Linked DNA regions of Neurospora crassa OR74A. The protein of the gene in region 3 interacts with the protein of the main gene of each other region in a pairwise test. Links are inferred from orthologs where the notes say so. Each region holds a gene or a part of one and is shown on either strand. Other genes may lie near its edges.

Evidence for each region.
Region 1: the proteins of NCU01249 (region 3) and NCU06009 interact in a two-hybrid assay, tested with the Saccharomyces cerevisiae proteins (2 studies listed by BioGRID). The link is inferred for Neurospora crassa OR74A from reciprocal best matches to the Saccharomyces cerevisiae genes SRP1 and YPL088W.
Region 2: the proteins of NCU01249 (region 3) and NCU00210 interact in binary tests that used the Saccharomyces cerevisiae proteins (3 or more experiments, as listed by UniProt). The link is inferred for Neurospora crassa OR74A from reciprocal best matches to the Saccharomyces cerevisiae genes SRP1 and CBC2.
Region 4: the proteins of NCU01249 (region 3) and nic-8 interact in a two-hybrid assay, tested with the Saccharomyces cerevisiae proteins (2 studies listed by BioGRID). The link is inferred for Neurospora crassa OR74A from reciprocal best matches to the Saccharomyces cerevisiae genes SRP1 and PNC1.
Region 5: the proteins of NCU01249 (region 3) and gch-1 interact in a two-hybrid assay, tested with the Saccharomyces cerevisiae proteins (2 studies listed by BioGRID). The link is inferred for Neurospora crassa OR74A from reciprocal best matches to the Saccharomyces cerevisiae genes SRP1 and FOL2.

What each region holds. Positions count from the first base shown.
Region 1 is NC_026506.1:3,101,553-3,106,469, forward strand, and holds NCU06009 (oxidoreductase), read right to left. Parts: upstream 2,617-4,917; 5' UTR 2,354-2,616; coding exon 1,451-2,353; intron 1,370-1,450; coding exon 1,193-1,369; 3' UTR 987-1,192; downstream 1-986. Other genes in the region: NCU06008 (hypothetical protein), read left to right, coding at 3,545-4,825. UniProt on the Saccharomyces cerevisiae protein: Putative aryl-alcohol dehydrogenase.
Region 2 is NC_026503.1:3,018,068-3,022,457, reverse strand, and holds NCU00210 (nuclear cap binding protein subunit 2), read right to left. Parts: upstream 2,430-4,390; 5' UTR 2,239-2,429; coding exon 2,170-2,238; intron 2,072-2,169; coding exon 1,950-2,071; intron 1,862-1,949; coding exon 1,468-1,861; 3' UTR 987-1,467; downstream 1-986. Other genes in the region: NCU00211 (mitochondrial ribosomal protein subunit L31), read left to right, coding at 451-500, 573-802, 873-925; NCU00209 (hypothetical protein), read left to right, coding at 3,773-4,117, 4,205-4,390.
Region 3 is NC_026505.1:3,366,479-3,370,560, reverse strand, and holds the start of NCU01249 (importin alpha subunit), read right to left. Parts: upstream 2,801-4,082; 5' UTR 2,455-2,800; coding exon 2,221-2,454; intron 1,957-2,220; coding exon 1,447-1,956; intron 1,396-1,446; coding exon 493-1,395; 3' UTR 1-492. Other genes in the region: NCU01248 (hypothetical protein), read left to right, coding at 3,778-4,082. UniProt on the Saccharomyces cerevisiae protein: Functions in nuclear protein import as an adapter protein for importin beta nuclear receptors. Binds specifically and directly to substrates containing either a simple or bipartite NLS motif. Promotes docking of import substrates to the nuclear envelope.
Region 4 is NC_026501.1:7,459,692-7,465,104, reverse strand, and holds nic-8 (isochorismatase family hydrolase), read left to right. Parts: upstream 1-2,237; 5' UTR 2,238-2,581; coding exon 2,582-2,728; intron 2,729-3,144; coding exon 3,145-3,891; 3' UTR 3,892-4,427; downstream 4,428-5,413. Other genes in the region: NCU00714 (heat shock protein STI1), read right to left, coding at 4,814-4,966, 5,029-5,413. UniProt on the Saccharomyces cerevisiae protein: Catalyzes the deamidation of nicotinamide, an early step in the NAD(+) salvage pathway. Positively regulates SIR2-mediated silencing and longevity by preventing the accumulation of intracellular nicotinamide, an inhibitor of SIR2, during times of stress.
Region 5 is NC_026505.1:348,673-354,027, reverse strand, and holds gch-1 (GTP cyclohydrolase 1), read right to left. Parts: upstream 3,128-5,355; 5' UTR 2,590-3,127; coding exon 1,648-2,589; 3' UTR 987-1,647; downstream 1-986. Other genes in the region: NCU07773 (thymidylate kinase), read left to right, coding at 1-171, 290-926; NCU07775 (hypothetical protein), read left to right, coding at 4,262-4,951, 5,017-5,355. UniProt on the Saccharomyces cerevisiae protein: GTP cyclohydrolase 1 is the first enzyme in the biosynthetic pathway leading to folic acid.

The DNA.
Region 1 (4,917 bases), on a different chromosome or scaffold from region 3:
CCTTTTTTTGCGGGCTTTCTTTTCTTTGAATTTTTCTTTTTATTTTGGCTAGGACCAAAGACAGATAAATGTACTATATCGTACAGTACGTATGAAATCGATTTAATGGTGAATTCACCAATTGGTCCAAATTCATTTGTGATGGGTGGGTGTAGTGCTTCTCCGTAAGAACTGGTCTTGAGTACCTTGACGCTAGCCTAGCAGAAAGACGGACTTGAATAAACGACACTAAAGGGCTTACATACCTCCTACAATACATACACGAAGCTATAGGTGCTAACTCAGGTAGGGATTATAACTACCCTGGAACATCTACCTCCGCTTTTGGGAGGTTAGTAACTGAAACTGAAGGTGTTCACAACTTATACCAAGTTTCCCACATATATTAACACCTCAATTGAGCAGCCTATTGCGTATCTCTAAAAAAAAAAAAAACTTCCACGCCCGGTCAAGATATTGCCATTATATCGAGACCATGGCCCGACAAAGCCCATACGTGGAATCGCATATGCTTGACTCAAGCTGCCAGCGCCACGGCAAGATCCTGGACTCCTTTTTTGACCTAATGAGCTCTCCGTATGTTGGAATGGGTGAACAGACCTAGCAATACCTTCCCCGTTTTGCGAACCCCTCACATATGGCGTCGTGCAAGACCGTAGATCTTGTCTTAGCAGGCCTCGGCACCTTTTCATCGGTCAAACCTTAACGAGCAGATTATATTACTGTCTGGTGACATAGTAATCCAGCACCGAGTCCCTGTTTAACATCTGCTAAATGGAACGCTGGCGCAAGATGACGTGAACACACTCGACATTCATTTTTGAACCGGCTCGAGAACGCGAATTGGAAATCTCCAAGGGTCACCAAGAGCATGACTTCATTGCACACCAGACTGAAGTCAGCAGAGAATCCGTTCACAAAGCCGACTGTCACTGGGCCTGGGATTGGAGCCCATCCCACTGACTTACGAACCTTGGCCACCTCGAGTGTAGCGAGCCAAGGTTGAAAACTTTCAATATAAAGGATGAGTTGAATTGGGGAACTGAGGGAATGGCGACATCGGGTCATGTCGTGGTCTCGGCAGATACATCGAGAGCCACCGAATGTATTCAGGAGTCTGTTTAATGATGTTACTACACCCAATACCTTCCTGATGCCAACATGAGTAAGGCAGTCAGGGTTGGAAGGCAAACTAAGTGTGTCCGTGGATAGCCTTGGGCTTATACATCTCCTCCAAATACTTCTCCTCCTCCACCGTTAAAACCTTGCCTCTAGCGGTGATTGCTTCTTCCAAACGCTCAACGCTGCTAAAACCAATGATTGGACTGATGACGCGCTTAGCAATCCAAGCCAAGGCTACGTGGGAGATCTACAGATACGGTTAGCAAGGTAAGCCTCTTCAAAAGATACCTACGGATATCGATGGGTTTCTCTTGGCTATGAAACTTACCGGCCATTCATGCTTATCCGCAATCTCAACCACGCGGTTGATAATGGTTAGATCGGGCTCAACAGTGCCATGCGACCCAGGCTGGGCCTCCTTCTCTCCTTGACTCCTCTTGGTCCTGCCAAACTGATCGGGTCTGCGGGCCAAGTGGCCACGGCACAAAGGAGCCCACGGGATCAAGCCAACACCAGTGTCGTTGCAGAAGCGGATCATCTCACGCTCTTCCTCACGATAGAGCAAGTTGTACTGATTTTGCATGCTGATAAACTTGGTCCACCCGTTCTTCTCGGCGCAGAACTGCATCTGGGCAAATTGAGTAGCCCACATGCTGCTTGCACCGATATAGCGCACCCTGCCGGACTGCACCAAGTCGTGCAAGGCCTTCATGGTCTCTTCGATGGGAGTGTTGGGATCAAAGCGATGAATCTGTAGCAGATCGATGTAGGGCGTATCCAGGCGCCGAAGAGAGGCCTCGACGGCGTTCAAGATGGCGGCCCGCGACAGGCCATGCTGGTTCACGTAGTCCTTGGAGGCGGCAATCTGGGAAGGAAAAAAAAAGGAGCGGAGATCGGGAGTCTCTCCGACAGCACCCCAACACTTGGTTAGGATGACTACCTTCTCGCGCGGAATTGCGTATTTCTTGAGGGCCTTTCCGACAATGATCTCGGATGTGCCGTTGGAGTAAACATTAGCCGTATCCCATGTGTTCAGGCCACGGTCATAGGCGGCCTTGAGTAACGGGAGAGCCTCATCTTCCTCGATGGCCCAGTCCAGCGTCCGTCGATCACCGAAGCTCATGCAACCAAAGATGGGCACGGAAACACGGAGACCGCTCTTGCCCAGCTGGCGGTATTCACATTTGGAGTTCTCGACAGACTCCTTGAGGCTGGCGGGTAGTTCGGGCATCTTGTGAGTTGTGACCTGTGTGTGTGTGTGTGTGTGTGTAGGTTGCTAGACGTCAAGGGATACTCGAAGGCGATGAGGGGAGAGTAGAGTGAAGGAATGACAAGGGCTGGATTGGGTACAAGATGAAGATGAAGGTGGAGATCACGGTGGTATTGTGAAGAAGGCATTTAATGACGGTAAATGGGTATAATATACTACCAGGCGTAGCTTAGGTTGGGACTTGCACGAGCCCAAGTACCTACCTCTAGTCAAGACCACCAGAGAAGGTGCAAGGTAGGTTACATCCACCGTGAGGGACAGCGTCACTATCCTGTTTGTGCTGGACGGGAGGCAGCACCTACCCCGCACCCAAGGGCAAGAACAGAGTCGTAATGCCCGTGTAGCAGTGCAAATTTCTTTGCAGGTTTCCATGTTAACTCCATGATCGTACCGAGGTGTGACGGCCAGAGGTTACCATGGCAGTGTTTGTCCTAGGCTCAAAGCAGTGACAAGAGGTCGGAGATAAAGTGACCGAGCCCCTAAAGTCCGGATGAGCGTGGTGAGCCAGAGGCTAGCTGATCACACAGCGACATCTTCCATTCTGAGATGATCCGGACCGCCCCCAATAAAGAAAAAGAAAAAAAAAAACAACCCCCCCGAAGAGTTGAAAAAAGGGGAATCCATCCCGGAAAAAAGGCGTTCTCAGAAAACATAGAGGTAAAAGTTGAGTATAAAGCTTAGCCCGACGTGGGAATCGAACCCACAGCCTCAAGATTAGAAGTCTTGCGCGCTACCGATTGCGCCAGCCGGGCAGGCATTTAACATTTATGCTCAGGAGGTCGCATTATACATGACAAAACTGTATTTCATCCGCTTGAATAAGAACCACCCAATACCGCCTTACACAGCAGAGGAATGAAACGCAAGCTCAGAAAGCATTCCCCAATGCCAAGCCCCTTTCGGCCATTCAAAGGGCCCAAGCACCCTTCGTCTAACCCTTGGAGCTTCCATGTCTTTAGTGCTTGCGTCCCTCCTTTCGAATTGACATCATCGTCTCCCCACCAGCACTTTGGAACCCGTCGGCCATTTCCGACATCGCGAACCCATTCAACCACAATCCCGCGACTTAACGGAAGCTACAACATTGCAGAGGGCGACGCCTTAAGCAGCGAAACAAGGATCCCATCCCCGATCGATTGAAACCGCGACACCATGCCCCACGACAACAGCGGCGACTGGGCGTCGCAGGCGCAGATTGAGCCCCATCAGCTCGAGGGTGGTCATACGGTGCCCTATTGGGACAAGAGCTGGTGGGAAGAGTACCGCCGAGCTAGGAGTATCAGAGAAAGAAACGAAATCATCACCAAGCTCGTCGACCAGATGCCCGTCAAGTGGAACACGCTGCCGCAACTGCCCTTCTGGGCCCCTCTGTTCAACGTCACCCAAGACCAGTACAAGGTGGACGTGGGCCAGAGACTCATGGCTACGTCCTTCCTATTGGGTCACCAGCCGCTGGACCGGGAGGATATCGATCTTGTCGCCTACGGCGCCGCCAAGCGATCTGTCACCAATGCGTACGCCCGACCCGCCATAGCCCTCGGCGCAGGCGTCTGCTGGGCTGTTGGATACAACAAGTACAACTTCCCTTTCTGGAAGCCAAAACCGGCATCCTTCAACCCCGAAATCTTCCCGAGCCAGAGATTCACCCTCGCTACCGGACACCGGGCTACTTTGGCCTGGCAAGGCGTCCGCATTGCCGCCTGGTATGTTACCTGGAGAATTTTCGGCGGCTGGATCGCGGATGCGTATGCCGAAACCGTCTTCTCGGCGACACTGATGCGGAACAAGGCATTCAAGCAGAAGCTGCTCGAGGCGGGACAAGCGATGAAGGCGAATAGCATTACTCACGAGAGGCCTGAACTGAGGGACGCTTATTCAGTTGAGCACGAGCCGGATCATGACCACCAGGAGGATCAACAGCAACTACCACAGCACGCGCAAACACCATACTACCAGCGGATCCAGCAGCACCAACAAGAACAGAAACAACAACACCAGATGCAGCAGCAGCAGCAGCGGCGGCAGCAAACACAACAATCCACTTATAGCCATGACGATGATGATTACCTCTTCGATGATGCCTCCCCCGTAGCACCAGCCGCCAGAGGAACGGGTACCGTTAGCTCGCCCGTCGCCCAATCTTCCGGTTCCGCATGGGACAGACTCCGACAGCAAGCAATGGGGGGCCCCGCGCAAGCACCTGGGAGCACGACCGCACCCACAGCTGCCATCTACGCCAAGCCTTCCCAGTCCCGTTTGTGGGCTGAGCGCCGTGCGGCTGCCGTAGGCGGCCGTGAGGACGGACTGTCGCATTCCTACTTAGAGACCGACCAGGAGAGAGCTCTGGCCAAGGAGCAGGCGCAAAGGGAGTTTGATGCCATGTTGGAGAGAGAGAGGCGTGGCGATGGCAGCAGTCATAGACGTGGGCTTTGAGTGAGCGACGGTAGGAGTGGCGAATATCCAAGAGCGGCTGGCTATATGTGTACATATAATATCCTGCTTGGTAGATGTGGCTGGTCTTTACC
Region 2 (4,390 bases), on a different chromosome or scaffold from region 3:
CAGCAGCCAGTTCGGCGGGCGGGCGTGGTTGTTGGAGCTGGAGGTTCCTTCGGTGACGGACGACGCTAATGCTGCAGGTGCACCCGTGTGTCCATCTGCCGCGGACAGTGCGCGGACAGCGGGGTGAGCTGTTCCGTGGGAACAAATGGAAAAGACAGAACCGGGGAATTTTACAGAAAGATGGGGGCTCCACGAGGCTGAACAGTGGACCTTACAGGGGCGAATCCAGGCCTACTATCTGAGACTGGGTCTTGGCATCCGCTCTCGAGCTGGTGTTCTTTCGGGGTTGGGGTTGGCGAACGGACCCGCGATTTTTTTTGGACGGGACTGTTTGGACTTTGGACGACGACCGCCCGCCCGCGCCGATTCCCGCGATACCTTCGGGACCCATCCTGACGAAGCGAACCGGTTGCAGCTCTCCCCCCCCAAACATCCACCACCACCACCACAATGTTTGGGGCTTTCAGATTCACCAACCCCCTCTCCGGGGGTCTTCTTTGGTAAGCGACTACCCTATGTTGCAGTTGCGCCAAAGGTTCTACCGGAAATGCTAATCATGTCGCGGCAAACAGGAAGATCCCATGGCGCATGTCCAAGTTCCAGAAGCTCAGGCAGCGCCGCAGACTGAGGGCCGTTGACAACGTCGTCGCCACCATTGAGAACGCTCTTGCCAAGAAGGGTGAGACCGTCAAGGCGGTGGAACGCTGGAGGGCTGAGATGCCCACCGAGGCCGAGATGCTGCCCAAGGACAAGTACACCATCTTCGACCGCAAGGAGAAGAGGTACCGCAAGGGCATCCACAGTACGGGCCACCCTTGTGCATCACTTCACAGCAGTCAAAGACCAAGGCTAATACGGCATTCCTTTTCCAGAGCTTCCCAAGTGGACCCGTGTGTCCCAGAGAGTCAACCCTCCCGGTTACTAAGACCTTCGACCCGGACGATGGACGATATCGTGCAAGCATGTATATCACTTGTAACATTACGCAGCGAAATGGCATGGGTGACATTGGAGATACCGCTAACAGGACCGTTTGCTTGGGGCAAAGAAGAGGAGGCCTCCTGTCTCGTCTCGCAAAGAGACTGACTGACTTGGAGGTCCTGTCCATCATGGACACTCCTGCTCGCTCCATGTTGAGATACCACTGCAGAGAGCAGCGCAAACACGGCCAGGCGAGCATCACAGAAGAATGTGTGGAGCCATACCGAATGGATGGGAAATCAATAATTTCCCGAAATACCATAGCAAGATACCAATACAACAACGAATATCATGTCTTCCAAGGGGGTATTTGTCTTTTACGCTTCTCTGTTCCGCCTCCACTTGCCCTGAATGAACAAAATTCGTAATTTCAGAGCCGGCTTGCATATTTTGTGTCGATTTGTCATGACGACTGGTTGAATATCTGTGCACTGGATCATGATGCACTCCCTCATTGTCCCACGTAACTCCCATGCAATGACAACTCTAGCGCAAGCGGCCGTATTGTTCGTCGTTATCGTCGTAGCGCTTGTGGTCATGCTCCCTCATTCTCTCGGCCTGGATTTGCCGGCCAAGACCACCGCGGCCCTCGTCGTAGTCCTCACGGTACTCATCACGAACTTGGCCGCCCGACTTTCCACGGCCGTACTGTCGCCCTTCCTCGAAGCCTGGGTCGAGATCGGTTCGGATGATGCGCTCGTCCAACTTGGTGCCGCCAATGTACTTCATGCAATCGAGAGCGTCCTGATGGGTGTAGTATTCGACGAAGCAGAAACCGCACGGTGTCTTTTGTAAGCGATCGAGGCCCATGACCAAGCGCTTGATCTCGCCGCATTTGCTAAAGAGTTCGTAAACCTGTTCTTCGGTAGTGTAGAAGGAACTGCCGAGGTACATTCGGTTAGTTCTTGTTTCTTTTGATTTTTTTTTGATTTTTTTAATTAAGGACTGGCAGCGTGGGGCAAACTTGCAGATTGCCGACGTAGAGCGTGGTCGCATCCTTCAACGGGTCATCGAACGCTTCGGGATGCATGTTACTGTCTTCGTTTTCTCCATCGCGGTGGTCCCGGTCGTGACGTCTGTTGCGCCTATTCTGTGTTGAGTGGATGGGTCAGCGGTCGACGGGGTGCTAATTATGGACAGGAGAGATTGGCAATGTTTGGGCATGGAAATGCCGTCAGGAGCACTCACCTTGTTGAAAAAGTATGCACTTGGCCTGTCAAGGCGCTCTACGGTGCTCCTTTGGCGAGTGTTCAACATGGTTACCTGGTAGTGAAGATGGATTATCTGCTCTTGGGTGAAAGGTGCCCTGCAACTGCGAAGAAGAAGGAAAATCAAAAGCTGTCAGCCCAAGTGGAAGTTCAATGGTTTGGAGTTCTGAGACGTCGATGGGGATGATGCAGTGGTTTCCCTTGCCAATGGAATTGGACCTACCTAAGAGGTAACTTAGGTTGCCCGCTAAAGTGGAAGTACAGGCGCAGCTACTTTCTGAGCGCGACTGGTGTGCCCGTGTACCGCGACAGCAGCACTGCAGGCTTCGTTCACAGTTCAGTTCAGCTCAGGTCAGTTACACTTAGTCCTGTTGGCGCACAGTGTCACAGTGCATCGGACATCACTGCATGGCAATCCAGGTAGTCTTGGCACTGTAACGGGCGACGGAAGCCGTTGGTGGTGGGTCAGGTACCCTATCTTACGAGGTGCCCGCAAATATGACGACGGCAGGCAAGGGCAGAGCGATGGAAGCAAGGGCAGGAGGACTTGGTGGAGGCGCTTTGTCGTTGATCCAACAACCATTGCCAGCCGATTGGACCGCAATCTGGCACCCAATTTACAGGCGCGTCACAGCACAACTGTACCTACCTCGGGCTTACCATTTATAGTATGTATACAGCTAGGTCTCCGTTAAGACCTCCATTCGGCCATTCCATCCCCTCTCATCCCGGGCGGCCTGCCTGTCTCCTGTTGATCAATGACCGATGGTGTGAGACGAGGCGGCGAGCACGGTCTGGACTGAACACCGGCGGACAGTTGAAACGGACTAAAGGGCTGTGGAAGGAGTGGAAACGCGCTAAAATGAAGCTAACACGATCGATCAAGGCAAGCAACGGAAAATATACGGCATAGGCACGGAAGCGGACGCCTCTAGTGACGCCCTGGACGCCTCATTTACAGCACTGGCTCGGACTGGACAATAGTGGCATCCAGCACTCGTCCATCCACGGGCATCCATCAGGTCCGTAGCACTACACGCTAGTCAAACCTTGTTGTTACCATCCTGACCAGCCAACCGAGACCACTAGCAAACTTCGCTTTCCTGGCTTTTTCTCCCATGGGATCGATCGAGGGGCCTGCCACTTCAAAAAGGGATCCCAATCTCTCTCCTTGTCTTCCCTCCCTTGGCTTCTGTTCTACTTGCTCTTGATCACCTTTTTTTTTTTTTTTTTTCATCTTCAAAAACCGAGAACCGCCATCACATTAATAGTACCGGTACATCAAATACATACGTACCTCGACCATAGTGCGCCTGCCTACCTACATAGCCAATTACCTCCCCACCTACATACATTACTTCAGCAGAGAAAGCGAAGTGCAGCACGACGACAAAAACCGGCCCGTGCATGCTAGGACATAGCAGGACCTCAACACAAGCTACTATTTCTGCCTAGCCAGACACCAACTTCGGTTTTCATTGCGCCACACGAACCACCGTCATCTGTAGGATTCATCAGGCTCGAGTTGGATAGTATAGCGACAACAGACAGCTCTTAGCACAAAACCACCAAGCACAGTCGGGATGCCCAAAATCCGGAGCTTCTCGGCGCCCTGGCTCCAGGAGCCAAACCCCGGCCATAAGCTCTTTGAGCAGGCCGAGGAAACCAACCGGCTCCCCGCTTCGATAGCTTCCTCCAGGAACGCCAGTCAGGGACCCAATCGCACCATCGCACACCGAGGAAACGAGGTCTTTGTTGCCAGAGGAAGGGAAATCAGATGGGGAGATCTTGCCGATCTCAAAGACGCCTGGGAGGCCCAACAGTCACGGACCGGCTCCGCAAGCCACCTCAACGGAGATAGCTCCGATAGCTCCTTTGAGGTTTACGATGAGGAGACAAGCCGTCTTCCCCAGGGACCAGGCTACAGGGTATGTGGCTACAAATCCCCGAGACTCGGCGCATACGGCGCATCCAAGATGGCCACATTGGGTACTGACATGGTTTTCCTCTTCTAGGTCATCAAGACCCCTGTCGCCAGCGAGATCCGGCAGCTGGTCATCTCCCCTAACAAGGACCAGTTGGCCGTCCTGACCTCTCACACAGTCCACGTCTGTATGCTGCCCGACACGTCCCACCTCACCTCTGGAGAGACGGCCCCCTTCAAGCCCAAGTTCTGGACCGTCGGTCCTACCACTCACGTC
Region 3 (4,082 bases):
CATCGGCCCCGAGGCTCCCGCTCCCTTCTCCTTGGCTTGATCACTGCGCGTCCGAACATGGCTATAGGGTTGGAGCTTTCAAGCTACCATTCAGACCCTTTGATTTACTCTCCCTTCATCATAAAACGCATCATCGTGTCCTCATCAGGTTCGAGCTTTCGCACCAAAGGACCAATCGGCCTCCATGTGCGTCTACTTATCCTCGCCTTTCTCTTTTAAACATAACTTTGATAACGCCAATTCAAGGGGTATGGTGTGGTGAATAAGCGTGAGGGGGCACTATGAGATTGAAGCAATATAGTTCTGCCGTGTTGTGACTTGTGTTTGGGCGAATGAACTCGTATGGGGGAGCCGAAAGGCTGATGGGGTAAGATGTTTATGGTAGGATTTCCCAGATGGTGCCGTGATCAACATCACATCTGGGTCCCCTCATCCCAATCTTTAACCCAACCATCCCCTTCGTAAAAAGAACTAGACGGATTGTACAGCATTTTACATGTCCATCGACTCGGTGCCGTTAGCACCGAAGTTGAAGCCACCCTGCTGGGCACCACCGGAAGCACCGAATCCAAACTGCTGCTGAGCGCCCATGGCCTCATCACCGGCCTCGTCCTCGTCGGAGAAGTACTTTTCAATGATGTTGTACGCCTTCATGTAGATCTCCTCGTTGGCGTTCGTCTGGCAGTCGTGAATCTTCTCCATTCCTCCGCATTCCTCGATAAATAGGGCATAACGGTTGATCGAGTCAGGGCCATCGCCAGCGGCGTTCTTGTCGAGCTCGCCAACCTTGAGAATATTCTCAAGACCATCCAGGGCAACCTGGATAATCTTGTTGTCAGGGCAAGCCAGAAGGTCGCAGAGCGGCTTGATGCAGCCTTGAGCAACCAAGTATCTGATCTGATCGGGCTTCTGGAGACCACCCGAAGTCGCGTTGCTGATAGCCCAGCAGGCCTCCTTACGAGTCTTGAGGTCGGCATGGGAGAGAAGGTGGATCAAAGGAGGGATGATGTTGGCGTCAATGACAGATTGGATCTGAGCCGAGTTTCCAGCAGTAATGTTGCTGATGGTCCAGCAAGCCTCCTTGCGGATGCCATCCTTGTTGGAGCTCAGAAGCGACAGGAGGCAGGGAAGGGCACCGCAGTTAATGATAACCTGGGTCTGAACATCGTCTCCCGTCACAATGTTGCCAACGGATCGAAGCGCGGGCGTCTGGACAGAGGTGGAAGCATGCATGAGGAGCTCAACAAGACGCCTGGGAATGCCAGCCTCAATAACCGCCTGGATTTTGTCGTTGGATCCATCCGAGAGGTAGGAGATGGCCCAGCAAGCGTCAATAAGAACCTCGTCGTCGAGCGAGTAGACGAGCTTGGCGAGAACTGGCAAAGCAGGGGCGATCTATGATGGATCAGTAGACATACTAGATTGTTCGTGATCGAGAGAACTAACCGTGTTCCAGTCGGGCTGAGGAGTCTTGCCACGGCAGAAGTTACTAAGAGTCCAGGTAGCATTCCTGAGCATGCTAAGTTTGCGGCTATCACCAAGGAGGGTCAACAAAGGACGCAGAGCACCGCAGCTTAGAACGTAATCACGGCATTGAGGGCTATCGCCAGCAATATTGCCGAGAGCCCAAACAGCCTGTTCACGCACATCAGGCTCGGGGCTTCCGAGAAGCTCGACGAAGATGGGAACAGCACCAGCTTCGATGACAACCTGGGTTTGAGTGGCAGAGCCCGAAGCAATGTTGGTAAGGGCCCAAGCGGCCTCGAACTGGACCAGGGTGTGGGGGGAGCGGAGGAACTCGACGAAGCGACCAACGACGCCGGTCTTGATAACCTCCTCAATGGGAGGGTTGCGCTCCTTGCTGAGCAGCTTTCTGAACTTAGTGGTCGCCTGAATTTGCTTATCGATCTCACTGGAGAAGACACCCTCGACCATCTTGGGAAGGTCCTCGCTCAACTATGACAACTGGGTTAGCATGTGGAGATCAACTATAACAAAGATCGGGGACGTGACGGAATGTGGGGTGGTTTTCGTTTGTACAATGTTCGAGTTTGCGCGCGCAGCTTGAATGCAGGTTCGGCACTGCCTGGGGGTTTGTGGCTCAAGCATCACCATCATCGGCGGGGTACACGTGGGGGAGAGAAGGGAGAGGCGATGGACGGACGCAGTAGCAAAATTGTGGCCGATCATGTAAGGGGAGTAAGATAGAGGTTTGCATACCTGAGACTCGGTGGGAGGGTTCTCATCGTCACTGTCGGGGGCGGCACCAAGGGAAGCTCCAGGCCGCGAGTCGCCAGCACCAATACCGCGCCTCTTGGCCAAGTTCTCCTCGCGCTTCGCCTTGCGAATTTCGACCTGCTGTTCCTCACGACGGCGACGAAGCTCATCGGGCTTGAAAGCACTCTTGGCCTTGAACTGGGTGCGACGATGCTCGGGAATGTATCGGTCAGCCATGGTTGCGACGCGATGTCGAGACGACGGTGTCTAGACGGATGGGTGATGGAGGTGTGATATGAAGGCGGCAAACGAGGGGCGATGCAATCGATGAAGCCCCGGCGACGAAGTTGCTGCGAGCCGTTCAAAGGGAGGTATATGCGATCAAGAAAAGCCGGAGAATTGGAAGAGCCCGGTTGATACGGTCCTGCCAAAGCAATCCTGAATGGGACGGAGAAAAGTATGGGTGCGTTGTCGGCGAGACGGAAAACGTCAGAGAAGGATTGGGTTTTGGGGATGGATGGGGCAGGCGAGTTGTGTGTTTTTTGAGGAGCGACGATGAAAGAATTTGGGAGTTCGCCCGCGCCTCGAGCAGAAAGCGGAAACAAGAATGCGGCGGCGGCTTGTCCCCTCCTCTACCAGCACTTTCCACCTCCACGAAAGTGAAGTCCAAGTGCAGGCAGTCACTGTGCCCTGCCTGCCACTCAGTCACAGCTGCCCCTCAGGCCTGAAGGTGGCCCAGTCACTGCCCACAGCGCCCAATGCTGGCACCAACTGTAGCGAAAAGAGTTTGGCTTCTGAAAGTGGGGATGGAAGAGCCAAGCTCGAGCACAGGCCACATGAGCAGCTTTGTAACTTGTCCGCTGTTCTTGGAGTGCAGGAACTTGTCCACCATTGGGTGGCCCCACCTCAGAGCGGCTGGACCCTCCAGGCATTCTTCTCATTCCTTCCATTTTGCTTGTGAACGTCATGGATTGTTTGCAGGTTACACACTGCCCGTCATAACTTCATCGACCTCAGGCCGCGTCCGTCGAGCCGCAAGCTTTTCGTTTCCCTGAATGACTACGACATGTTTCAGTTACTTGAAAGAACGACGTCAAAAGGCCGCTCTCAACCTCCCACCGTCTGAGCTAGGTAGATACGTCTTTGCTACCTCCAGGCTTTAGGTTGTGTTGGGAGGCTGGCCTGCAAGGTCCTGTTCGGGAGTCCCCGACCCCTCATGACTATACTGGGTAGGTAAGAGAAAGCACAGACCATGCGTCTAACCATTACCGTAGCCCTGCAAGGCTTGCTGAAAGCACAGCGCTTCAAGTCTGATGGTCTGGCCCGACGGGCGGCCAAGACCCTTGCCCTGCACATGCGGTCGCGCAAACTTGGCGATTGGGCAGGTGCCATTTCCGCTTTCAAGACGCGTAAAGTGAACGCGTAATGTACGACGTATAACACTGAAGTCCCCAAGTTGCCCTACAACGGTTGGTAAGTATCACGACCAACCGCTGGTGGTGTTTCATCCACATACTCATCCGCCGCCATGTAATCGGAACGGAGAGTTGGGATATCCAGATGATGCGCCCGCTCAGAGACAGGAAACCGGCGGCCAAGGCAAAGCCACCACTTTTTCCGTCAACGCTCACACCCCTACGAGCCATTCTCGACGATGACGGTGATGCCCAGCCCGGGTCCATGGTCAATGTCATTGGTGTTCTTAAGGACTGCCGAGCACCCGTCGCGACACACGGATCGGACTGGAAGTGCACCCTGACCATATCTGACCTGTCCATTGAAGATGAATCGGCCGGAGTTGAGCTCGTCATCTTCCGCCCCGAGGCACGGATGCCCGAAGTCGGCGCCGGAGACGTGCTTGTTGT
Region 4 (5,413 bases), on a different chromosome or scaffold from region 3:
TTGGTTGCACAAAATCCGATTATTGCAAAGAATAACCAGAGTGCAACAAGTCCCAAAGAACTGGAAAGGTGGTGGAACAAACTGAAGTTTGGTTGGCGGCTGCAATGAAGCTGCTACCTCGAGGTACGGTTGATGTACCTTTCAAAAGAATGAGGGGAGGAAGGGGGGGGGAGGGGGAAGAAGAATCGTTAGACAATGTTGAATTGAGCAACAAAAAAGTCCAAGATCCTGACCGGAGGGAGATCGGTACTTCTCCGTCACTTGTTGCTTGCTCTGCTCGAGATGAGGACCGAGGCGGAGTGGGTGTCCGGGTTGCCCTCTTGATAGGCAGGTAGGTATGGGAAATAATAAAAACTTCCAAAAAAAATTGGGAAGGACCAGGGGACCTCTCTCACTGGGTTGGACGATGCAGTGCCAGTAACACGGGCCACACCCGCTTTTGTGTCTTTCCCCAAGACGATCCAATCCGGGCGTCGCTTCTTTCGCGCTGCACGACGACCCCCTTTTTTCTTCACGATGGAACATTTTCCCACTTCCATTGACGACGGTTCGCCCAAGACACTGGAGATCTAAAAGACATTACTATGCTCGATTTGGGCTACGCTATGTGCACCGATCCATATCTTTTGCTTCAACCACCAACGATATTTCAACACGCCGTCCTCGCGCAATGGCCTTGGGCCCGAATGTTGGGTAAGGTAGAGCGAGGTCGCTTCACCGCCTAGGTTCCATTCACCACCTGCACTGTACCATCGCGACTAGTGACATGCCACTAAGTACGGGGCAACAGTCCACAACCTCTTCTCTTCTCTTGTGTTCTCACCATCCGGCGCATGGCTACCGTACAAATACGTGCTCGCCGTTTGGATCATTGTTTGATTGATGGGATCAAGCCAGCGTCATCAGCTTTGTCTTTGAACATGTTGCGCCGGCTATATGCGATGCTCGATACGATGTGCAGTGGCTTGAGGGGACAGAGCGTGCATGTGGGAACAAGCCGTCCCAACTGGATCGTTCACTTTGACGGCTACGTAATGATTGTACACCACCCCCTTTTCCTATTGTTTTTTTCTTCCCCAACGAACACTTTTCCGGCTTCCAGAAATCTCAAAATGGCAACCTGGCCACAACACAATCATTGGCTGTTCAAAGTTTTTTTTTTTCCTCTCGTGAGCAGCGCCAACTGAGCCAGTCATCACGGGCACCAAACGTTCAAAGACGAAAACCCCGGCACGGCGAATCGACATGATCTCCCAGATCCCTCCCAGCTGGGCAGGTTTGTTTCAATTCCAGCCTCCTCCAGCCTCTCCAGGTTGTTCCCTGAATATCATCACGTTGCAATAACCAGCCCCACCGAAAAAGGCCGAATGGATGTCTGGGCGCAATTTACCCCCCCTAGCCCCCACCATTATAACCGTTATCGTCCGTTATCGCCCGTCAAGCTCGCTTGGACGTGGCATTGCAGAAGGCTCTCGGCTTTTGGACGAGGTCGTGGATCCTGGCGACAAGAATGCTGATGCGGGACCCATGGTTGCTTATCGATACCGGTCATTGCTTATGATGCTTATCAGATGATCTGATTATTTCTTACTGCCCCTCCATCTCCACCATGACTCTACACACATGGAGTAGCGTCGAGTCGCCAAATGCCCCTCCATAACTGGCCGTCTACAATTACTGAACTGATCGTGAACTCCAGCAAAGCCAACGCTTAGTTTGGTGGGAGTTTGGCTAATGTTTTGTGGTGAGAGTGTACGGATGATGGACTTGACAGTTTCTCGGAATTCGGGGTTTCTCTGGCGTTGGGGGGGGCTTTAATATGATAGGTGAGCTGTCGCAATGACCATCTGTTTTCGAGCCGGACTTTGGGAAGCATTGATTCTGGGTTTTGGAACGTAAAACCCCGCCGAAGTGCAGACGTTCGAGCTGCGTTTGTACCCAATGCTACCGAGTCCAAAGTCCCATCACAGCTACAGGGAGCGTTCATAGGCGGAGTTAACACTCGGGGTTCTGTTTCACGCGCTTTGCATTTTCTACAGTACATAAAGGCCGCCCTTCTCCGATATCGTTCTCAGATCACGTCGTACAAAGGCGTTGAGCCCGCATTGATAAAAGAATACCACGTCAACTTCAGCTCGACATAGTTTGCCAGATGCAACCAAGTTGTGAACGAACGACCCCCATCACGGTATGTAAAGCGGAGGTACGGAATTGTTGCGAGCGGAAGCTCATGGGAAGTGCCCCTGGGTTGACTCTTGGAACCCTAACCCTCGTGCATTGACCGTTTGCGCCGATTAGTTGTGATTCTGCGGCGGGCTCAATTGTATACCAAGTATAGGATGCGCACAGGCGCCGTTCCTTGGTACATAGTGTGCGCCGATGAGTGAGGTCCAGTGGCGTTCAGGGACCTTATCGACGCTTGTTTATCCGTCTTATCTGAACTTTCGTTGGGGGCCGTGCCTCCTGTTTCGCCGCCGCTCTCGCTGATTGCGACATCCACCTACGACGGCCATCACCAACCGCCTGATCCTTCTCAAAAGATACTGCAGGGTCGTCTATTGAATAAACACGCCCGAATATCATGGGCTTCCTCGAGTGGCTGATGCCCCCAAGTATCTTCAATGTGTTCCAAACACGCCTGCTAGAAAACGGGCAAGGTGCTCAGCCGGAGCCCGATTTCAGGCCGGCTCTCCTGGTGGTTGACATGCAAGAGGACTTCTGCCCACCGGTAAGCCTCAGGATCTGCTTCCTGCACGTACCTGTACAGAACTCGCAGCAGCATCGATATTTTAGTCTTTTTCTGTGACGTTTTTCACCCATCCTGACTACCCTCACTCGTTATCATTTGAATCCTCGCATTGTTCTGGCCTCTTTTATTGCTTCAAGAAAGCTGGAAGTTGTACTGTGGCGAGAACATACCATTCGTGTCGTCGCCGTGTAAGCCTCATTCTACGGGCAGACAGACCACTTGCAATCTCCCTATGAGCTCAGTGGCTTGCAAAAAATACACAGGCCCATCTCTTTCTTCATCTCATATTAAGTCAAATCACCTCACTCTTCACATCACCACAGTCCGCTCACTTTACCTTGATTTCACACCCACCTTCACCCATACTCAAACACTAACACTGGTCTTGCAAACAGAACGGCACCCTGGCAGTCACCGGCGGCCGCTCCATAACCCCCCTAATCAACACCCTCCTCTCCTCCCCTCTCTTCGTCCTCCGCATCGCCACAAAGGACTGGCACCCGCCCAACCACATCTCCTTCGCCTCCAACCACAACCACGCCTCCTCCCCATCCCCCTGCTGCCCTGACTCCTCCGGAAAAGCCGCCATCCCCTTCCTGTCCACCACCACCGTCCACAACCCCCACAACCCCTCCGAGTCCTACACTACCCGCCTCTGGCCCTCGCACTGCATCGCCGACACCCCCGGCGCTAGCCTCATCCCCGAGCTGGACGTTTCCAAAATCGACCAGATCCTCGAAAAGGGAACCAACCGCCTTGTCGAAATGTACTCGGCCTTTTACGACCCCTTCACCTCACCCCGCGTGAGCGATTCGGGCCTCGCACACATGTTGAGGGAGGCCAAGGTAACGCACGTCTATGTGGTGGGGCTGGCGGCCGATTATTGCGTGTGGAGCACGGCGATGGATGCACATAACGAAGGGTTTGAGACGGTGGTGGTGGAGGAGGCGACGAAGCCTGTTGATGAGGACGGGTGGAGGAGGTGTAAGGAGGCGCTTGTGGGGGAGCCGGGGGTGAGGGTTGTGAGGTGGGAGGGAGAGGAGGTTAGAAGGCTGTTTCCTGGGGGTTTGGTGACAACAACTGTCGGTGCTGGGAATGACGAGGAGGTAGTGGAGGAGGAGGAGGAGGAGGAGAAGATTTGAGGAGGTGGAAGGAAAGGGAGGGAGGAAAATTGAAACTGGAACTGCTGGCGGGGATGGACGAGGTCAGCGGGAAAAGGCTTTGGCTTTTTGTTGTGCTTTTGTAGGCGGGTGAAGAGGTACCTTATATGCAGCGTTGGCTGCTCGGTCGTTCAACGGGAGCATGACAACATGCAGTGCACAGGCATGGCATGGCGGCCATGCTTCAGGGCGGATACTGCGTTGCTTCGGCGCCTGCGTTGCGTTGCGTTGCGTTGCGTTGCGTTGCGTTACGAGCTTTAGATTGTTTATTTGTTTTCATTTTCATTCCACGGCCGATTATAGCTGACTTTGTTTAGGCTTAGCGATGAGCGCTCTTAGCGATACATTCTTGATACCCTTTCAGGAAGATGACGAGCAGATACCGACATGTGTTGTGCAATATCATGGCGATTTGAAGGGGAAGCTTTGCCATGTGTCAGTACACTGCCTAGTATTCGGCATCCCGCTCAACGCGGATTTAAAAAAAAAAAAAAAGAAAAAAAAAAAAAAAAAAAAAACCAAGAGGTACTCGGAGTCTCCCGCCTACTACGGTGTCGAATTCGTGGTTGGACACATGGAGTCAACAAAGTTCCAAGAAGTAAGCGGGCAAAAAGAGACTCCATGCCCTTGTGCGCTCGTGAAACTACACACGAAATGTTGACAAATCGTCTCCCTAACCCTAATGACATGAATGGAATTTACTGTACAAGAAAGTGATAAAGATAAATTGTCATTTCTCATGCAATTCATTAAGGGATGGTATGATTTCCCATTCAAACGGGAGTAAATGTGTGTTCAAGAAACCCACGCCATTCCGACCTTCGTTCCCAAGCGCCAATGCTATGATCCCCGGCCAAACCAATGCCCCTTTTTGATCCCCTTTCGTTCATTTTTTTGTTCTGTTTTACCGGCCAACGCGGATGACGCCAGCAGCGATAAGCTTCTGGATCTTGGTCCTGACGTTGGGGTTCCTCATGTGCTCGGCCAAAGCGGCAGGGTCGGACTGAGCCTGCTGGAGGATGGCCTGCATGACAGGATCGGACATGATACCCATGATCTGAACGCGAATATGTTAGTATATGTTGCAAACAGTGAATCTGGTATTACGATATGACATACCTCAGGATCACGCGCCAGACGCTCCCTTGTCTGCTCCTCGGTCTCGTTCTCGCGAGCCGCATACATGGCGTTGAAGGCCTTCTGCTCCAGCTGCTCAATCTCACGAGCGTTGGCGCCATTGTGGTACTCGGCATCGATCTTGCGGGCTTCGGTGCAGGCGTCAACGCACTTGCTGTACTCGCGCATGCCAAAGTAGATCTGAGCCTTGCGGATGTAAGCACGGATGAACTTGGGGTCCTTCTTGATGGCCGTCTCGCAGTCTTCAAGGGCGCTAGGGAACTCGAGGAGCTTCATGAAAGCAGCAGCACGGTTGCTGTAGCCGCGGGGGTCATCCGGAGCACGCTTGATCATCTCGGAGTAGGCAGCAACGGCGCCGGGCCAGTCC
Region 5 (5,355 bases), about 3.0 Mb from region 3:
CAAGCTTTTGGAGGACCGCTTTCTGAAAGCCGGGAAAAAAGTCAAGACCATGCGATTTCCCGACCGAACCACGCCCATAGGCCAGATGATCGATTCGTACCTCAAGTCGCAGGCGCAAATGGACGATCATGTTATTCACTTGCTGTTTAGTGCCAATCGATGGGAGGCTGTGTATGTTTTCTTTTTTTTTCTTTTTTTTTTTCTTTTTTCCCCTCTTTTGGATTGGGGTGGTACATATACAAACAGACAGACAGACAGACAGACTAACAAGTTCTTTTCAATTAACCAGAAAGAAAATCACCTCGGAACTATCCCAAGGCACCACCCTCATTCTCGACCGCTACTACCACTCGGGCATCGTCTACTCGGCCGCCAAACAAAACCCTTCCCTCTCCTTATCCTGGGCGCGCGCCCCCGAAATCGGTCTCCCGCGTCCCGACCTGGTCCTCTTCCTCGACCTCGACGAAGAACAAGCGCGCTTGCGCGGCGGGTGGGGCCACGAGCTCTACGAGAAAGCCGAGATGCAGCGCCGAGTAAGGGAGTTGTTCTGGGGATTGTCGCTGGGGAGGGTGGGGACGGTGACGGTGCCGGTTGGTGGTGTTTCGGCCTTGGGTGGTGCTGGGACGGGGGGTGAGAAGAAACGGGGTGGGGAGGAGGTGAATAAGAGGGAAGCGGTCATGCTTGCCGAAGGACCAACGGAGATGGAAGAGGTGGCGGTTGGAGCGCCGACGCCACTGGCTGGGGCTGCGGGCGGTCCGCATATTGATAGGGAGTATGCGTTTAGGCAGGAGGAGGAGGATTTGCATGTTATTGATGCGAGCGCGAGCGTGGAGGAGGTGGCGGAGGAGTTGTGGAAGGTGGTGAGTGCGAGAGTAGACGCGGTGGAGAGGGGGGAGGTTGGCAAGGTTGTGAGGAGGGTGTTGTGATGGACACGATGTTTTCTTGGGCGTTCGGCGATTGGGTGTGTTAGCTGTTGGATCATATGATACCGAGATCAAAAAGGACAAAGCTGGATGTGATAAGTCCATCTCATGCCAGTCCTATGAGACGAACCTTGAAAATTATGAGCTGAAAATATCTACCTGTGTCTAAAGCTCTACATTTACCCAGGCGATGGTAGAGTTGGACCTTCCCTTCCAGTCTCTTTCTTGTTGTCTTTCTCCTCCAAACCAAATCGCCCCCGAAAAAGTTAAGCATGGACTGAGAGGAATGTTGATGCATTAAGGTTGGAAGCAAGCAACATAGCGAACGCCAAAAGGGGATATAATGAGAGATTATATAGACAAACATGCCATACTGTGTTTTTTTCTGAAGAAGTAGATTTCTCGCCGCCCCCCGCCTTGATGTTGAGATCCTCGCTGTTATATGAATTTGCCCGGTTGAAGCCCCCCTTGAACGCCAGATTGATGCAAAATGTTTGCATGCTTGAAAGAAATATGTGAAGAAAATTGGCATGCCGTTGAGGCAGATCCCTGTGTGGGTATGTAAAGATCCAGTTCCCTGTTTGTACTTTTCCTCCTTTTTCCCTTTTCCTTTTCCCTCTTCCCTTATCTTTTGTTGAAACCAGTGTCCCCAGCTAGACCTGGCCGCGCTCGACTAAAGGGTTATGTCCGATGGAAGCACGACCTGCTCGTTAGGAAAGCACGTTTAGCGGTTGACGCCAATCAAGCTCAAGAACTCGAGCCTCGTCTTCTCCCTCGACTCAAAGCACCCCAACACACAGCTGGTAATGGTACTGCTCGTGGTCTTCTGAACGCCTCTCATGACCATGCACAAATGGCTGCTCTCCATGACGACCGCGACACCCTGCGGCTTGAGGATTTCCATAATGGCATTCGCCACCTCCTTGGTCAACCGCTCCTGGATCTGCAGCCGGCGCGCAAACAGCTCCGCAATCCGCGGCAGCTTGCTAATGCCAATCACCGCGTTGCTGGGGATGTACCCGATATGCATCTTGCCCGTGAAGGGAACCAGGTGGTGCTCGCACATGGAAAAGACCTCAATGTCCTTGACAATCACCATCTCGTTGTGGCCCTCCTGGAAGATGGCCCCGTTGACAATGTCGCGCACATTCTCCTGGTAGCCCTTGGTCAGGAAGAGCATGGCCTTGGCGTAGCGCTCGGGCGTGGCGAGGAGACCTTCGCGGTCCGGGTCCTCGCCGATGCATTCGAGCAGGGTCCGGACGGCGCCCTTCATCTTGTCGAGGCGCTCCTGCTTTTGGGCTTCGGTTTCCTCCAGACGCTCGCGGGTGCCACGCGAAGGGCGACTTAGGCCGTCAAAGTCGATGACGGGCGAAGGAGAGCGGGTCACGGAGGTGGATGGGGAGACTTCTTCGGTGATGGTGGAGGGGACGGCGGCGGCGGCGGTGGAGGAGGTGGTCTTTCTCTTCTTCTTCTTGGAGGGCGACTCTTCGGGCTTGTCCGAGGGGTCGCGGGCGGGCTTGCTGACGCTGGATCGCCTCTCGCCGCTGGAGTGGGCGCGCTTCTTGCTGCTCTTCTTGTCCTTCTTGTTGTTGGTGCCGTTGGCGATGGGGGGACTGACGGAGCCCGAGGGGCTGTCGGAGCCGTCGCGCGTCGTCTCTTGAGCCATTGTGTATGTATGTGTAAGTAGTACGTGGGAGGTGATGGGTGGTAAGAATAGGGTGGTATAAAATGATGTTTCGGTAGGAATTGGCTGCGTAGTAGAGGGAAGAAACGAAGAAAAGACCAGAAGATCAATTGCGAGAGAGTCGGGTGACTGACTGACTCTTGCAATGAATTCCGAACAGCTATGAATGGGTGGGTGAGTGGTCAAGCAAAGTCCTGACTGACTCTTGTGCGGCAACCCCAATGTTTCGTCGGTCCAGGGAAGTGAAGGGGAAAATAAAACCGGGGACTTGGTCTAGGCAGGCGGAGGAGTGGAAATTTTGAGCGCCGATTGCAGGAGGGCAAACCAACAGTTTTGGGGAATCTAGACGCGCTAGACCCAACCAGGCCTGTTAGTCTTATCTTATCGCCGTTGACGTCAACTTTTCTGCAAGGGCAAAGCCTGCGTTCTGGACTGATTCTGGGGACGAAATGGGGCGGGCTTGTTCGGGGTTCAATTCTGTGTGGAATCGATTCGGTTTTGTTTCACTTTTGGAGTTTTGGCCACTTTGACCTTGGTGCTGCCAGCGGAACTGCGACTGCATCGTGCATTCATGGTCTGACTTCCATTGTGCAGAAAAATAAGCTTGATGGGGTCAACGGTTGCCAAGGAAAGAAGACACCCAAAAAAGGGTCCTTTTTAAGGTTCGGCCGAGGGTTCCACAGAGTGTCTTCCAACGGGGCCGGGCCGATGACTTGTGTGTGTTGTTTCTTATGTACACTAGCTTGGTACTTCCTGGTATACTTGACGAGACCTGATCTATCCCGAATTGTCCCAACCCTCACATGGATATGATGAATATCGGACATGGAGTTTTCAAAGAGGTGATTTACGGTCTGGTTATGGATCGAAACCGATTGATTGGATTTTGAAACGCCCAAGCAAGTTGAGCCGAGGTCTCGAGCAAGACTGTAGTTGGGTCCTGATCAAGACCTTATTACCACGACACTGGCTTGTCAAAGAGTACAGTACACTAGAATCGTCAGATACTGTAATCTGGAGGATTAAAGCTGTATGTCTAGGTGCTACTAGATTTTGCACACTCCGCTCCTGAGTCCGGCAAAGACTCCCTTTATACAAAGGACGGTTTCACGCATAAAGTTGAAAACAGCGAATACGAACCCAAAGCGGCTCAAGGCTACAGGTGAAAGTCATGGCTGTATTGATGTCTCAGCTTCTGCAGAATTGACAGGTAAGGGAAACGTTCAGACAGCTGGGCTCTGGGGGGTGCGGGCTGCCCGTTGCTGGTCACGCAGATGCCCCACTCTACGTGACCACGGGTCGCAATTGCAGTAATTACGTGTAACGTACCGCGCAGCACCGCATGTCAACCGCGACAAAGAACTTCAAGTTCCTGTTCAACATTTCGACAAACAACCAAACTCGCCATCAGCTCGCCGCCAACAACCAAGTACGGGCCGCTCCGTCGTCAACGAACCAAACCTTACCCACTGCCGAATGCTAGTTTTGACGACCTCGCTTGCGTATCAACACCAAACAATCAATTCGTCACAGAGCGGTCTCCGCTCCATCACCGAGCTCAGCCAACCCATCATTCTAGCTCGCCCCGCGTCATCCGCAAACACCCACTCACTACCTCAACACCCCACGATCACATCCCCAGCAAGCCGTCACCATGGCCTCACCACCGCACAACAGCTACTCCTTCCCCGGTGGTGCTCGCTCCCCACCACACCTCCCATCCCTCACCACTTCGTCTCTGTCTAAGAAACGCGCCGCCGACGGCTCTGGCCCCTCGCCCAACATGAAGCGCCGTAAGGGTTCCGTCATGTCCGTTGGCTCCGCCCACCCACTCCGACAAACCTCCTTCCCGCCCGACGAAGCCCCTGGCGGCGCCCGCTCCCCGTCCGTCGACATAGACGCCATGTCCTACGTCAGCGGCACAGCCCAAAGCGTGGTCAGCGCAGCCGCCAGTGCCGCTCCCACCGTGCCCGCCGGTCCGCCTAAGAAGAAGCGTGGCCGTAAGAGCAAGGCGGAGAAGGCGAGGGAGCAGACACCTAGTGTTGTTGGTGCTGGGGCTGGTGGTAAGCCGGGAACGGCGCCGCCTAGTGAGGTTGGTGGGTCGACGGTTGGTAGAGGGGCTAAGAGTGCTGCGGGCGGGAAGGACCAAGGTGGACAGCAAGAAGATCAGGATGATGATGAGGGCCCGACGGAGGTGGCGGCTACGGCGGATACGTTGACGAAGGAACAGAAGGAGGAGGAGCATAGGCAGAGGGGAATGCTGATTAATGCCTTTTCCCCGGATCAGTTTGATCGTTTTGAGAACTGGAGGGCGGCGAACTTGAGTAAAGCTGGTGTTAGGAGGGTATGTTCGTCGTTGTTCCTGATCTGCTATGCTTGGGATTTTCATCGCTGACTTGACGGTGACAGTTGATCAACGCAACCATCTCCCAGTCCGTTACCGAAAACGTGGTTATTGGCATGCGCGCGGTAGCCAAGGTCTTCATCGGCGACATCATCGAGGGCGCACGTCGTGTGCAAGCGGAGTGGATCGAGAAGACGGGCGAGAAGCAGACCGATTTGCCTAGTCCGCCGGCGACGCCTCACGCGGCTGCTTCCAACAACAATAACAACAACCTTGCAGGCGGCGAGGGACAACAGCAGTCGCAGACGCTAGGAAACAGTGCACAGACAAACGGCGAGAACGGAGAGGGTGGAGATGCAGCAGCAGCAGCAGCCGACAAGGGAGACGAGACCATGCCCGACGCT